Linked DNA regions of Tamandua tetradactyla. The protein of the gene in region 1 purifies or fractionates together with the protein of each later gene. This does not show direct contact. Links are inferred from orthologs where the notes say so. Each region holds a gene or a part of one and is shown in the gene's direction. Other genes may lie near its edges.

Region 1 (6,977 bases):
TACCTTCTTAGAAAGTAAGTATTCTTTAACAGAATTAAATCCACATCCCAAAGACACCAGCATGTGGGTACTCGGCCAAAGGCTGAGAGCCTAAAATTCACATCAAATCACAACTGAATGGATTGGTTCTGAACTGTCTACTTCTTCAGTTAACATATCCCAAAACTTGGGCCTGGTTTACAGATGATTCTGCATGATATCCAGGTACCAACCGAAAGTGGACAGCTGCAGCACTACTACCCCTTTCTGGAATGTCCGTGAAGGACACCTCTGCAAGATGGGGTCAAGAGAGAACACAGGCTTTCAGTTTAGAGGCTGACATACTTCTATCAAGAGTGCTCATGAAATCATAGAGATAGTGATTTTTCTAACATTGTTGGCAATTAAAAGAATGTTTCACAGGACTGTTAGACATTTTTGAGCCCATGGCAGGATTGTATTCATAGAACTCCAGAATTTTAAAATTATATAGGTGTTTTAGTTTCCAAGCTGCTAAAATAAACACCATACAATTGGTTGGCAGAACAACAAGAATTTATTGGCTCACAGTTTCAGGGCCAGTATATTCAAGCTGGCTGGCATCTCGGGGGGTCCTTGGCTTTCCCTCACAAGACGCATGGTAGCATCTTCTCTTTCTTCTGGGTTCCACTGACTTCTAGCTTCTTGCCTTCCTGTGGCTTCTCCCTGTGTGTCCAACTTCCTTTGCTTATAAGGACTTCAGACATATTGGATGAAGGTCCACACTCATTCAGCTTGGCATACCTTAACGAATAACATCTTTAAAAGCCGACATTTACAAATTAGTCCACACCCAAAGAACAGGGGTTGGGACCTGAGCATGCCTTCTGTAGGTGTCATGATTCAATCCCCAACGGAGGAAACATAGAAATCATCTAGTTCGAGCCCCTCAATTTATGAATGGAGGCCTAGGTAACCTGTTCAAGACCATCAACTAACTAGCAGAGCTGGGATAGAAGCCAGTCTCTTCTTCTTAGACCCAGAGTCAACCAGAATTTCAAAAGTGACTTATGAGAACGCTCACTCACTCCATTTCTCACTTCTTTCACTCCTCATACATAAATGCTAATTCTCAAAGAGAAGGGAAGAGGGAGTCAGTGAGATTTAGTATATGATAAGGAAACAGTTTGGGGTTTATACAAATGCTGGTTTGAAACTGTCATGTACCCCAGAAAAACCATGTTCTTTTAATACTAATCCAATCTTGTGGGGCAGACCTATTGTTTGGGTGGGACCTTTTGATTAGGCTGTTTCCATGGAGATATGACCCACCCAGTTGTGGGTAGGACCTTTTGATTAGTTGGAGATGTAATCTCACCCATTCAAGGTGGGTCTTAATTAGTTTACTGGAGTCCTTAAAAGAGCTCGTGGAGAAAAAGAGCTCAGAACTGACACACAGAGCATAGAGATGAAAGCTTAGACACAGTTGTTCAGAGATGCTGAGAGAGCCATTTGAAACCAGAAGCTGGGACAGAAGGGCAGCAGATGTCTCCATGTGCTTTCCCACGTGACAGAGAAACCCTGGAAATTGGCCTTTCTTAAGTGAAGGATTCCTCTTGTTGGTGCCTTAATTTGGACATTTTCACAACCTTAGAATTGTAACTTGTAACTTAATAAATACCCTTTGCAAAAGTCAATCCATTTTTGTTATATTGCATTTTAGCAGCATTAGCAAACCAAAACATAGTCTTGATTTTTCATCCTGATTGTACTACTATTTATATTTTTGAGCTTTAGTTTCTCCATCAGCAAAGTGGGCATGTTATTATTAATAATAAAGTGTCTCATAAAATTATTATGAGGATTAATAATAGCTGATATAAAGCACCCAGCACACAGTAGGTGCTCAACAAGTTATAGCTATGATTAAATGGTAACTCTCCACCAAAACAAAGATATATTAAAATAATCACCCATGTGCCAAAAAAAACCTTCGGTCTTTGAGCAATGCACACTTTACAGTACTGATGCTTTTATATTAAAGTAGCACTGTAATGTTTAAATGAAAGTTACACCTACACCCACACACAGCTGTCTGTTAAAAATATCTTTTATTGAATGAACAATTCACAAACCCAAATCAACTCTATGTGGATCAATATTCCTTTCACTTCCCACTTTTTCATTGGGATGCTCAAAAACAATTCTTTTCTCTTTAGACAGTTTGCTTACTCACAAACAGCCTAACATGAAATGTAAAACATTGTATTTTTTAAAGTATGATAAGCCCTGGAACACCAGGGAATCCACGTAAGGGCTCTGTGGTGAGAACTTCTGAGTGGTAAGCCATTGGAGCTTTAGAGTGGTAAGGAATTACCCAGGGCTCCTCCCCATCGATACAAATACTAGTATTTGCTTAATACTTTATAGCAAACAAAAGGTTTCCATACATACACAATTTTAAATGGTCTTATAGAAACCAAAGAAAGAATTACTTTCCCTAAGGCAACAGAAGTAAGAGTTGGCTTCATAAATGTCTGAATTTACTTTATTGCAGTTTCCTTCCTCCTTTTTATCTTGCCCACCACAGTAGTGACAAACAAAATTCATTCACTTATTCAATAAACAGTTGAGTGCATGTGTCAAACTCTGTTCTTGGTATTGAGGAAACAAAAAAAAAAAATAAAACTAGTCAGGGATCTTCATCTTGAGAAGTCACATTTTGGTGGGAATCAGAGAGACACTTTTATGATAATAAGTACAATTACTGAATACCTACTTCGTGCTAAAAATTACAGTAGGCACTTTTCATTTAATCTTCATCAGGATAGTGTAACGTATGCATCAGACGCATGTATGACAGCTGGGAAGAGGCCTCAATCTGCCCTGAGAGACAAGCATAGTTTCACTAATTACATAGAAAGATGTGCAGAAATATTCCAGGCAGCTCAAAGTTCGTTCTAGTAAGGAGCCAATTCCAAAGAAGGGCATTTTATAGAGAAAAAAATTGCAAGTTCAAAAGTTAAGAGACATGGTAAACTACAGGAGTACTGGGATTTTTGTGTTGTTATATTTTCTCCTGTATCCCCAGCACCTCGAGCAGTGTCTAGTAAATAATGTCTCAGTAAGTAATTGTTGAATGAATACAGGCGTATCATAGGGCTAAGGAAATACTACAGCCTGCGGTTCATTATCGCTGGAAAGGTAGACAAGAATGAAAAGTAAGCCATACCAACTTTAAGAGATCAGGGGTGATGTGGTGATGGATAGTAATAAGGCTAGTTAAGAACAGGAATACTGGTACCCGCCCTGTTATTAACCCTTCTCCCGAGAAAAGTCCAAGGATGCCGCACCGTGAGGGACAGGAAATTGGTCGCTGCGCCAATCGACACTCACAAAGGAGGGCTCTCTGACCGAAGCTGGACTGAAGCACATGGTTTGGGCTCTAAATCTAAGTAGAGGCTACTACTCTTCTCCTTCCACCCCATCCTTCCCTCGTTCCTCGTTTGGTTCCACCACCTACTCAAAACACTCGAAACTGCATTCCGGCGATCCCCAGCACCACGCCACGAACCCTAGAGCGCGTACCGGCCCTGCCCCGCCCTTCTACTCTACAGGACGCCGTGAGAGCGCACGCGCGCCTTTCAGAACGAAGCGCGCACCCGCGAGCTTCCCGCATCCCCGTGCTCATCCGGGTCCCACTGAGTCTCAGCCAATGGTAGTGGCTCACGGCCCTCTGGGGCGAGGTTTAGTCTTCCCTCACATGGGGCCTATGATTGCTGCTGGCGCCTCCAGGGAACGGCGACCAAAAAGCGGAGTACAGGGCCTGAGTCAGGGAGCCCAACTTCTGGACGAGAGTCGACAGCTTTGGGGCTGAGGGACCTTACACCCTTAAAAGCACCCGAACCGCGAACAGATTCTTCAACCAGAGCCGGTGTAGTAAACACACTTCAGAAACGTGAGGTGCCGGTGGTCACATGGGGAGAGCGCCCACCAATGATGAGTCAGGGGCGGGGCCGAGGCCGCTGACGCGGCGGCGGCGGCGGCGGCGGAGTCACCCGGGCAGCCTCGGGATCGGTAGCCCACCGGCTACCGTCCAGCAGTCTAGACCCCGGCCTTCGTCTTTGCTGGTTTTTCCCCCGCCGAGAGGCAGCGTTGCTGACAATGGCTGAACCCTCTCTCCTTCCTCGCGGTGACTCGCCTCCGGCGGGCCATTTTCTCCTCACGGGCCGGCTCGGTGGGGCGAGGTTTCCGTGACCAACCACCTGGGACTGCCGGTGCCGGCTCCGGCCATCGTGGCGGTTCGAGCTCCTGGAACTTGCTCACACTCCGGGGATCCGAGGCCCTCGAACGTATGCGTGTCGTCTAGGCGATTGCGGCCGGCGTCGGGCCCTAAAAGGTGTCACTCCCGGACACCGCTGACTGGGCAACCTCCATTCGTCTTCCAGCTGCGCCTCCGGCGCAGTTTCCGCCGGTCTCCTCCTCGGAGTAATTTTTTCCTCTGTCCCCTCCACCGCCCTTTCCTCGCTCCTTGGGGGCGGCGATTCTCCTGGAAGCGAAGGTGTAGGTTATGAGCTGGATCTTCCTTGCTTAAATCGCTCTCTGGAGGGGCTCGTCGCCGGGATGGGAGTGAACGCGGTGCACTGGTTCCGAAAGGGGCTCCGGCTTCACGACAACCCCGCGCTGAAAGAATGCATTCAGGGCGCCGACACCATCCGCTGCGTCTACATACTGGACCCCTGGTTCGCCGGCTCCTCCAACGTGGGGATCAACAGGTGGCGGTGAGTGAATCCTGGGGAAAATTAATTCCGGTGTTTGATGAATCCGGACTTGATAAGCGATCAGCCGAATCCGAGAGTCTTGACCTGGGAGCGCCTTGCTTGTACTATTTAAGAATTGTAGGTGCTTTATGTTCGTATCAAATATAATTGACAGTATTTTTTCTGGCCAGAGAGTCAGCTTGGCCTTCATCTTTGTGTCACTACGCTCATGGGACCTCTTCCCCCTGAGTTTAGGGAGACTTAGCAGCGGTGGAGTTAAACAGCTTTTCAGTCCTTAGTGGCCTCGGGATTGATTTCCTGGGCCTCTTTGTGGCCTTCAAAAGGATCATTGTTTTTAATGTTTACGTTTGTGTAAGTAATTCATAGTATGAAAAAAAAATCATTCATTCAGTACAGTCGTCTCCAAATACAGTTTTCTTCCACCTTCAGGTTGCTGTAGGAAAAGCAAGAGAAGCATCATTATCTGGTTTCTCTATACTCAGTGTTCTTCTCAACTCCTCCTTGTGGTTGACCAGACAAAGCACACTTTTTCTTTCTAGGCAAAGTATAATCCTTCTAGGGACCAGAGATCTGAAAGAAATCTAAGAGAAGCTTTATTATCTGTTCCTGAAGTATCAGGCTAGGTGATTGTTGGACCTCCTGGTGGAAATAAAATTATTCATCTAACGAATAGAATAGTGGTCACCTCCTGTGTGCCAGGTACTGCTTTAAATGCCAGAGATACAGCAATGAAGGAAACAGAAATTCTTGTCTTCTTTGAGCGTATATCCCAAAATGTGAAATACGTAATATTTTAGGTAGTGGTAAATGCTATGGGGGCAAAAAGAGCAGAAAAAAGAGATAAGGAATATAGGGATGGGCTTTGTAATTTTAAATAGGTTGATTGGGGGAAACTCATTGAAAAGGTGATATTTGAACAAAGACATGAAGGAGGTAATGGAATGTGGATATGTAAGGAAAGAGCATTCCAGGCCGACGGAACCGTAAGAAAGAGAGCCTGAGGAGGAAACATGCTTGCCTTTGGAGGGAAAATGGGAGGAGTCAGTATTGACTGGAGGGGAAAAAATTAGGTGACAGTATAAGTGAGCAGAAAAGTAGTAGTAGTAGAAGAGGTCAGAGATGTAATAGGACCAGATTGAATAGATCTTTATAGACATTTGTCAAGATTTGTACTTTTACTGAGTTAAGTAGGAAGACGGGATCTGAGTTAAGTTTGAAAAGAATTTCTCTTGCTGTGATTCTGAGAACAGACAAGACTGGGGGCTGGAGGTGGACAAGAAGCGGGAAGACCATTTAGAAAGCTATTGCGTTCTTCTGGGAGAGAGATGATAAGGGTCTGGACTGTGGTGATAATGGAGGAAGTGGTGAGAAGAATTCAAATGCTGGGTGTATTTTGAAGGCAGAACCCCCAGTGTTTGTTGACAAATTGGATATGTTGGTGTGAGAAAAAGAGTAGTTAGGAATAATTTCAAGATTTTTAACTTGATAAGCTAGTGGGATAGAGTTGCACTTTGCTAAGAAAATGAAGTCAGAGAAGTCATTAAGAGGATGATTGAGTCCTCTTGGGCCTGGTTAAGTTTGAGATGGAGTGCTTTACCTATTTCATATGCTGCTGATAGGTCAAGGAAGATGAGGGCTGCAATTAAAAACTGAATTTAGCATTTTGAGGTCATTTGTAATCTTGTTGAGAGTTCAAGTGGTTTCAGTAGTGTCAGAAACAAGAGCCATTTTGGAACAAAGAGAGGTAGGGAGAGGGTTGGGGACAACTCACATGGACAGCTCTCTGGAGAACTTTTACTATAAGGGGATCAGAGAAATGGTGTGGTTCCTGGAGGGGGATGTGAAGTTGAAGATTCTTTTTAAGATGGAAGAAATTACAGTATGTTTGTATGCTGAAGGAAATGATACAGCAACTATATGTAAAACAATTTTTCATTAGCAGAAATAGTGTCATTAAACTTCACATCCTAAAGAGGCAGGGACTGAGTTATATTCAATCTGTTCTCATAGCACCAGATTGAGTGCGTTTTAGTAACTCAATTACTTTTTGTTGAATGAAGTGACATCCTGATGTCTGTAATTTTATATTTTAACAACTTTATTAATTTCCCTATTGACTATAGGATAAAGCCCAAATTCCTTACCTTGACATTCAAAATCTGCCTTTTGACCTTTGTAATCTCATTTTTTCTTTTCATATGTGACCTCAACTATTCAGGGAAAAAACAAACAAACCCT
Region 2 (7,896 bases), on another chromosome or scaffold:
AAGGGTGAAGAGATATATAAGAGGTAAAGAGATGAATTGAGAAGAGCAAACATAAAGTCCTTAAGACCAAAATAGAAGGACTGGTGGGACAGGAATCTTTTTAGAGATAAAGGCTTGGGTTTTAATGCCCTATAAGGACAAGAGATGAGTTTGCAAGAGAAGTTGTAACTGAAATCCCTGCATAAAGCAGGAATTTTGAAGATCTTCATCCTCCTTAAGAAATGTTTAACTTAGGACACAAAGAGATGAACAACAAACTAATATGTCTTTGAATGGGATCTGGTTTTAAAAAGAAGGTCTTTTTAAACGTTTTTACTGTGAAATTTAACATTTATACATAAAAGTGATAAATTTCAAAGTACATTTTAATGAGCAGCTTTAGAACAAATTTCAGTGTATGGTATGGGGTACAGTTCCACCATTTCAGGTGTTTACTTCTAGCTGCCCTAAGACACTGGAGACTAAAAAGGAATATCAATATAATGATTAAGTAATCATATTCATTTGTTAAATCCTATCTTCTCTGATACAACTCCTCCTTCTCCTATGATCCTACTCCCACTGTTTTTTTTTTTTTTCCACTTTCAAACCCATTTTTTATTTTCTTTTTTCCTCCTCAACATACAGAACCTCAGGGGTGTCTACATAACCACATTTATTGCAGCTATAAAGTCACTTGATACTGGTCAGGTACCATTTATTCTTTTATCATTTTATCCCTAAAAGTTGTTGGCATCAAAATACGACAGTTAACCAGTGTTAAATCCATAAAATATTTACAGAGTATAGCGCATTAAGTTTTAGACACCTGGCAATTAAACCACATAAAACCAGGACAAGACCCCCATTACACATGTTCTGAGTCAGGCATTTAGCAGCCCCTAATACAGCATCTTTACACTAGTCAAAGGGCGGCAGAGGCAGTAGCTTTGGAGCACACTGAATATTATGATCTGGAAGCACATTATGATGTTACCCCAGTGTTATGTACCAACCCACTTTCTCCAAGGTAGTCTCATAATTCTAAAATGGCAGGTCCAGCTGATACAAAATGAAGACAAGACAACACAAAATTTATTCTGTGAAAATATCCTACTATACTATGCCTTCACTGTAATTTTGAACACAACTTGTCTCAAAAACTTGTCGTGATCATCCTGGCATTTTAGATTGGGTGGCCCATCAATCTGGCACTCAACTATCATCTCTTTCTTGGTACTGTTGGAGCCAAATCCTGGCTGGACAGAAACTACTGGCTAAATATTCCACGTGCATTTTTTTTCCCACAATATGGAAAATATTTTAAGTCTACAATTGCACTGTGAGGATAATTTAATAAAACTGCCATGTTTCCGTCCTTGGGAATGCATATTATCCTTGGTTCTCCTTCAGGTTTTAATCCAATTATTCTGTTCATTTTCACAAGAATATAAGGTTTTCCTTTGGAATAGCCAAAGTCAGGATCTCTCATACCACTGAATGCTTCAAGTAAGTGATCAACAAACTGACATGCATGATAATCTGGGCCTTTCTATTCAAAAAGTACTCCATCAGGGAAGACCATGACATTTTTCTGTCCTTGTAAATCATATGGCCTTAGAAGATTAGTAATGTCTTCAATGTATGCTTTATAGGAATCTGAATCAGACAAACCGATTGTATATTCCAATGCCGTAAATGGTTTTGGGAAAACCATAAGTCCTGGACTAGGAAGCTGGTCACAGTATTTTGGAACCTTATCATTCAGAGTCTGAAGCATAACCCACATTGTGAATGTGAAGAGTGCAGCCAGGAGCCCATAGAAGACTAGGTAGAAAAGCAAGATCAAACTGCAGCTCTTGGCGGTGCGCCCCAGGCACTCTCTAGTGGTTAGGTTGTAGACAAAGAGCTTCTACACTGCCAAGCTCTCATGGAAGAACTTCCCTTCTCCCACTCTTTAGGGATATTTGGGCAATGGTCATTCTTCTTCATGTTTAAAAGGGGTGCCGACATTATGGGGTAGGAGTATGCAGATGGTTGATGGTCTTGGAGAAACTGGTAACTAGGTTTCTGGGCTTTTCTGGCCTAGGAACCATCTGAAAGTTATAGGTTTCTGAAAAATAGTGAGTGAAACTTTCATAGAATCTCAGAGCACTGGGTACTCTTGAGGATTTACAGGGCTATGACAATTATTATTATCTAGCTGCAGTTTGCATAAGAGTAACCTCCAGAATAGCTTCTCAACTCTATTTGAAATCTCTTAGCCACTGATATCTTACTTATTTTACATTTCTTCTCCCCGTTTTAGCCAGGTAGGCATTGTCAATCCCACAGTACCAGGGCCAGGCTTATCCCTGGAAGTCCTGCCCATATTGCCAGGGAGACTTATATCACTGGAAGAAAGCCTTTTTGAGAATTCATAACCACGGGCCTACCCTCACACAGGTTGGAATTTGAATTTATACTCTCTTTATAACTTAAGTAACCCAAAATTAAGAAATTATTATAAAAATTGTTCCTGGCTAGTAATAGCCTGAAGCTACCGGCAAAAGCAAACTAAAAAACCTCTCTGGAATGACGTGCACTCAACCAGGTTGCACAAGATTTCTAGAATTAAAGCATCACAAAGGATGAATTCACAATTCAAAATCATAGAATACATTAAGGACAACCCATCATGAGCAAACACTGACACGTATCTAGATTAGACCCCTGATTACTTAATATGACTAAAAAGATTACAGAAAAATAAGAGAAGAATTTAAAACATGAGAAAAGAACATCAAGAAAGATCATGCAGATGTTTTACAGAACCAAATGAAACTTTTAGAAATAAAAAACACAGGCAATGACTGGGTTAAGCAGATACTGAATAGAACTGAAAAGAGAATTAGTGAATTGTAAGACAGTTCTGAGAAAACTACAAAGAATTAAATATAGAAAAATAAAGAAATAACTGTGAAATTAAGAGATACGGCAGCAAACCTCCCACGTAGAAAAATCCCATATAGTTTAAGGAGCATAATTCCCCACCCCGCCAGTATGGGTTAGACATAGTGAGTTCCTTACAAACAGAGCATAGAAGGGGAAGAAAAGAGTATCTACTGTGGAGAAAGTTGACCTCAACACCTGATCAATGCTAACACCTACAGGGTTAAGTCATGATGATAGCATGCGCCTGATGTGATGGGATGAGAATGGTATTTCACCCCTGTGGACTCCTTCCCAAACACCCATAACCCTGGTCTTATGAAAAAAAACATCAGAAAAACCCTAATTGAAGAACATTTTACAAAATACCAGATCAGCTTTCCTCAAAACTGTCAAACTCCTCAAAAACAGGTAAGTCTGAGATGGTGTATAAGGAACTACGGCCACATAACCTAGTCTTTCCTGGTCAGCGGGTGCCTAGGTGGAGTGGTCCTGGGAGCGTTCTGTTCCCAGAGGAAGGGGTACATTTTCTGTACAGAATTGAAAAACAATAACAAAACTGACTATAAGTTGTCCTGCTTTTATTATCATAATGCACCTGCAATTCTAAACAAGTTCAATAATAAAATATTGCTCCCTCCTGGATGGAACTACTCCACAGTCACCCTTTCCAACCCCTGTGCCAATGATGTTGACTGATACAATGGACAACTGTAATTACTGAATGATTTATAAATAAGCAGAGGTTTTCTTTCTGAAAAAAAGTGAAATAAAAAATTTAAATAACTCTAACAGGAAAAAGAGGGGAGGTTTAAATGCAAAGTGTGCTAAGGTCCTCCTCTACTTCAGGAGGAAAATGGGGAAGTGAAAAGCGGCCACTTTTGGAGGGTGAGAGTTTTAATGTGATATACTGGCTATGTTTTTTGATTGGTTGAAGTGTTTTGCTGTTAACCTAGTTTCAAATAAATGGACCTGAATTTGACCTATTTGCCTTTCTTCTTCTAATAATTAGCAATGCCTTTCCTAGAACGTCCTATTGTTACCCAGTCACTAAGGGACCTAAAAAAATATTGAAGTTCAGGTACAGCTGCATTAATAAGCTGCTAGAGACTGTTCCATTTTAGAAAGCTATTTACTAATCTCAGGAACCTATTTACCTCATAAAAACAAAGATGGTTTTTAAAATAGAAATAATAACAAATAATTCCTATTAAAAAATCATTTTAGGAAGATTTAGAAAATAATTACCTAAATAGAAATCATCTATAATCCCACCCTTAATACGGCAACCATCCGGTTATATTTCCTTGCAGTGTTTTAAACATTTAATGCATATATTACGTGTATATATTTTTAGAGCCTGTATTTTTAACCCCTTAGGTTATGGGGCACTAGGCGTAGCCATCCCGAAGGCCATCTCAGCGAGCTGTCAACAGCCACTGTTTATCCTTCCGCCCAGGGGAACCGGCTGCGGAGTTACAGCAGACTCGAAACTTCTCTTTTCTTCTTTTTGCACCACCTCCCTAAACTTTCCTATTTTAGCAATAATTTTAAAAGTAAGAGCCACGTCTGAGGAGATAAAGGTGGCAGCCTCTCTGGAACCAGGCGCTGGAAGCCCGCAGCCGCGCGGGGAAGGCACACCCGGCTCCGGCTGCGCACGCTACGGCTGGGCGCGGCTCCTCTACCGTCCTCCGCAGCGCGCACCCGCCCCACGCGGGGGGAGACGCGCCGGGAAAGCGCGCGGCCGTGAGCCGCAGGCGCCATTTTGGACTCCGTGTCTGGGCTGAGACGCTGGGCAGCTCCGTGGTGGCCGCAGCTCGCTGAGGGAGTCTGTCGCAGTGGCGGAAGGACCCGGAAGGGGGTCGCGTCGGCGTGGGACTGAAAAAGAAGACTTCTCCTGGGTAGCCACAGCCGCAAAGGTGGAGCCACGTTGGCGCCCGCCGGGGGACCAGCGCCTCGGATGCGGGCGGAGCGCGGGGGGCCGCGGCGGCGGGAGCGCGAAGCGGGGTTCCCGGGGGGCCTCATGTGAGAGCCGCGGGACCAGCCGCCGCCCTCCTCCCCGGACCCCGGGGTGGTGTATGGGGGAAGCCGCCCCCGGCAGCAGGTAACGGCGGAGGGGCAGGGCCGGAGCCCCGCTGCGACGACGGGGCCGGGGGAGGGTCTGCAGTCCTCTTCTTGATGGGCGGGGTTCGCGGGGTCCCCGGCGTGCGGGGGAGCGCCCCTTGGACGCTGCGGGCGGGGCGCCGGGCGCGGCTCCCAGACCTTGGAGCCTGTTTGGGGGCGTTTCCCCGCGGTGCCTGCTTCCAAACGTCAACAAGGCGTGGTGCCTGTGCGGCGGTCGCGTGCGGCCCTCCCCGTGACGCCGCGGAGCTCGCCGCAGCTCCTGCCGCGCTTGGCGGGCTTTGGTGACAGGTACTGTGGGGTTCGCGCCCCGCCAGTTCCTTTTCGGCGTCGGCTACACCAATGCTCGTAGCTTGAGAAATTACAGGGATTAGGATGTCAAAACGAACTGAAGGGTAGAGGCAGGAGTTATATCAGGGAAAGCCAATCCGTGGAGGTGGCGGAGGGAGGCAGAGACGCTCCCGCCGCGTAGCCAAGTGGAAAACTTGGTCAGCTTGTGCTGAGCAGCATTGTGCTTCCTTTTCGCGTGAACAGCCTTTTTAGGTGGAACTGCAGATAGTGCTCAGAAAGCAGCCCATCAAATGACTGGCTTGCATCTCCGAGTTAAGAATTGAAAGAGATTTAATTAATTTGTTGATGTCCGCCGAGTGGCCTGTCTTTTAATTAGAATCTTCTTTTTAACTTGAAAAAAGTTAGCTTCTACTATTCGTGAAATGTTTATAAAAATGCCATCAACTTCCCAGTGATCTACATATGATTACTGGATGTGTTCACCACGTTCTCCCTACCATCCAGTTCTGAGAGTTAATGCTGTTTCCACTTTTCTATTGTATTCCAGTCAAGGAATATATATTAATTTTGATATTAGTCAAGGCAAAACAAAAATGGAAAGGAGATTTGATGCAAAAACAGGCATTTAGCTTTCAAGAGCTAACTGCTGATGGGCTTTAAAAATTATTACATATCCAGCATATGTGAAAGTGCTGATGCAATGAGGGGCATACAGCAGCGTGTTCTCTGGTGAGCTGAAATCTATTTGATGAGTAATTTGACTGTTCCTGTCAGTTTATGGAACTGTTAGTTACTTCAGTAGCTCTCTTTGCTGCTCAACTAGTTTGTAGTTTTTCCTCTTAGGTTTTTTGGGGGGAGAGGCAGTTCCCAATAATATCAGTCCGTTCACTCATCAGAAGCTCTAATAAGTTGAATTAATTATTTGGGGCCTCAAAAGTTGTAATGTGAAATTAAACTGCCTAAGCAGCTCTGCGGAGGCCTGATTTTGTTGCTCAAGAAAGTCTCATTGATGTGTATTGTCCATATCTGTCCTACCCTCTCCTGTTCAGATATAAAAGGTGTTTTCTCTTTGACTAAAAGTAGAAGATATATAAGTTTACTGACATAAATTATTTGCAGACTGGTGGATCTGAATCGTTTAATTTTCTATACAGCAGTTTCATGTGCAGATAGAGTAAATAAAATATTTTTGAAAGCAGTGTAAATTTTTGCACGAAAAATTGGCATTTTAAAATTGTATTAAATGCCCACTCCTTTTATTTTCATGCATAAATGAAGACAATAGATTATTGTTTTTTGTCTGCATTTAGCCTTATATTTGTAGATTTGCTTTTTAAATCTAGGTTAAGATCCTAATTATGATATAATGTAGTTCAATGACATATGGCAATTGATAGATTTTTGTTCAGCTACTCATAAACTAATCAATGTTTAAAATATACTTTGGTGAACATGGAAATACTATACCTTAGTGTTGAATACTTTGGGTTTTTTTTTCCCTCCTACTCCCAACTTGGAAAAGTATTGAAATATACTTGAAAACAGGGCTAAATAAACAAATGTATCTATTGTTAGGATCAGCAGTTTTACCAAAGATAATTGTGTGAATGACCAGTTTATTTTTTAAACAGCTTTCTTGAGATATATAGTTCACTGATGATACATTTCACCCATTTAAAGTGTACTTTATTGTTTTAAACATTTTTCATTATAATAAAACATACATGGCTTAAAATTTCCCCTTTTAACTACTTTCATGTACACAATTCAGTGATACTAATTACATTCACAGATGCTCACATGGTGTGCTATCATCACCACCACCCCAGTATCATTTTTGTTTATATGTCCATATATTCTAAAGTAAGGCTAATAATTGCAGCTTTTAATAGAGTATTTCTGGTTTTAGAAGACTTTTCTCCAAAAAAATGGGGTCAGCAATCTATAATGAGGAGTAGAAATTGTCAAGATTGCTGTATTCTGTTATGAATCTTTGTATTTTAAAATTCTGAGTAGTTTCAGGTAGTCAGAGGAAAAATTATAAGCTTTGAATAGCAAATGCTTAGTTCTTTGGCCCAAATTTTATATGCTAAAATTAAAGTATGACTTTAAAACAAGTTAAAGCAGAAAAATGGGTCATAATGACAGTGTAATCTCAACCTTTGGTAGGACATTACTACTAGGAGAGGTTTCTTCTTTTTTTTTTAATTTTAAAGATTATATTGTAGATTATACCTTTGTTTAAAATCACTTCAAAATGTGTTAAAAGTTAATAAGTTTCAGTTTTCCATAAAAGTACCCTGTTAACTATTATTTTTGTTATTCTATTTTCTCCCATCCTCTCTGTCTTCTCAGTAGGCTATATATCATTTATTTCACTTAACTCAGATGCTTGGAAGTAGGAGCAATGAGGCATAGGCAGTTTATTGTACATATGCTAAGACCTGGGCTCATTTTCATGGCATGGAGGTCAGGCTCCTCTTGCCATTCTGCCTCTATTCTCCAGCTCCTAATCCTCTTTCACAAGTTTTGCTAGCTACTGGAGAGAGCTGTTCGGTTTATGATTATTCTTAT

The links.
Region 2: the proteins of CRY1 (region 1) and FBXL3 purify together in Homo sapiens (affinity purification with mass spectrometry; 4 studies listed by BioGRID and IntAct, counting the BioPlex papers as one, with this or other methods). This does not show direct contact. The link is inferred for Tamandua tetradactyla from reciprocal best matches to the Homo sapiens genes CRY1 and FBXL3.

Annotation. Positions count from the first base shown.
Region 1 is NC_135333.1:23,633,901-23,640,877, reverse strand, and holds the start of CRY1 (cryptochrome-1), read left to right. Parts: upstream 1-3,958; 5' UTR 3,959-4,581; coding exon 4,582-4,739; intron 4,740-6,977.
Region 2 is NC_135330.1:144,769,369-144,777,264, reverse strand, and holds the start of FBXL3 (F-box/LRR-repeat protein 3), read left to right. Parts: upstream 1-4,884; 5' UTR 4,885-4,988; coding exon 4,989-5,014; intron 5,015-5,302; exon of another isoform or gene 5,303-5,322; intron 5,323-7,896. UniProt on the Homo sapiens protein: Substrate-recognition component of the SCF(FBXL3) E3 ubiquitin ligase complex involved in circadian rhythm function. Plays a key role in the maintenance of both the speed and the robustness of the circadian clock oscillation.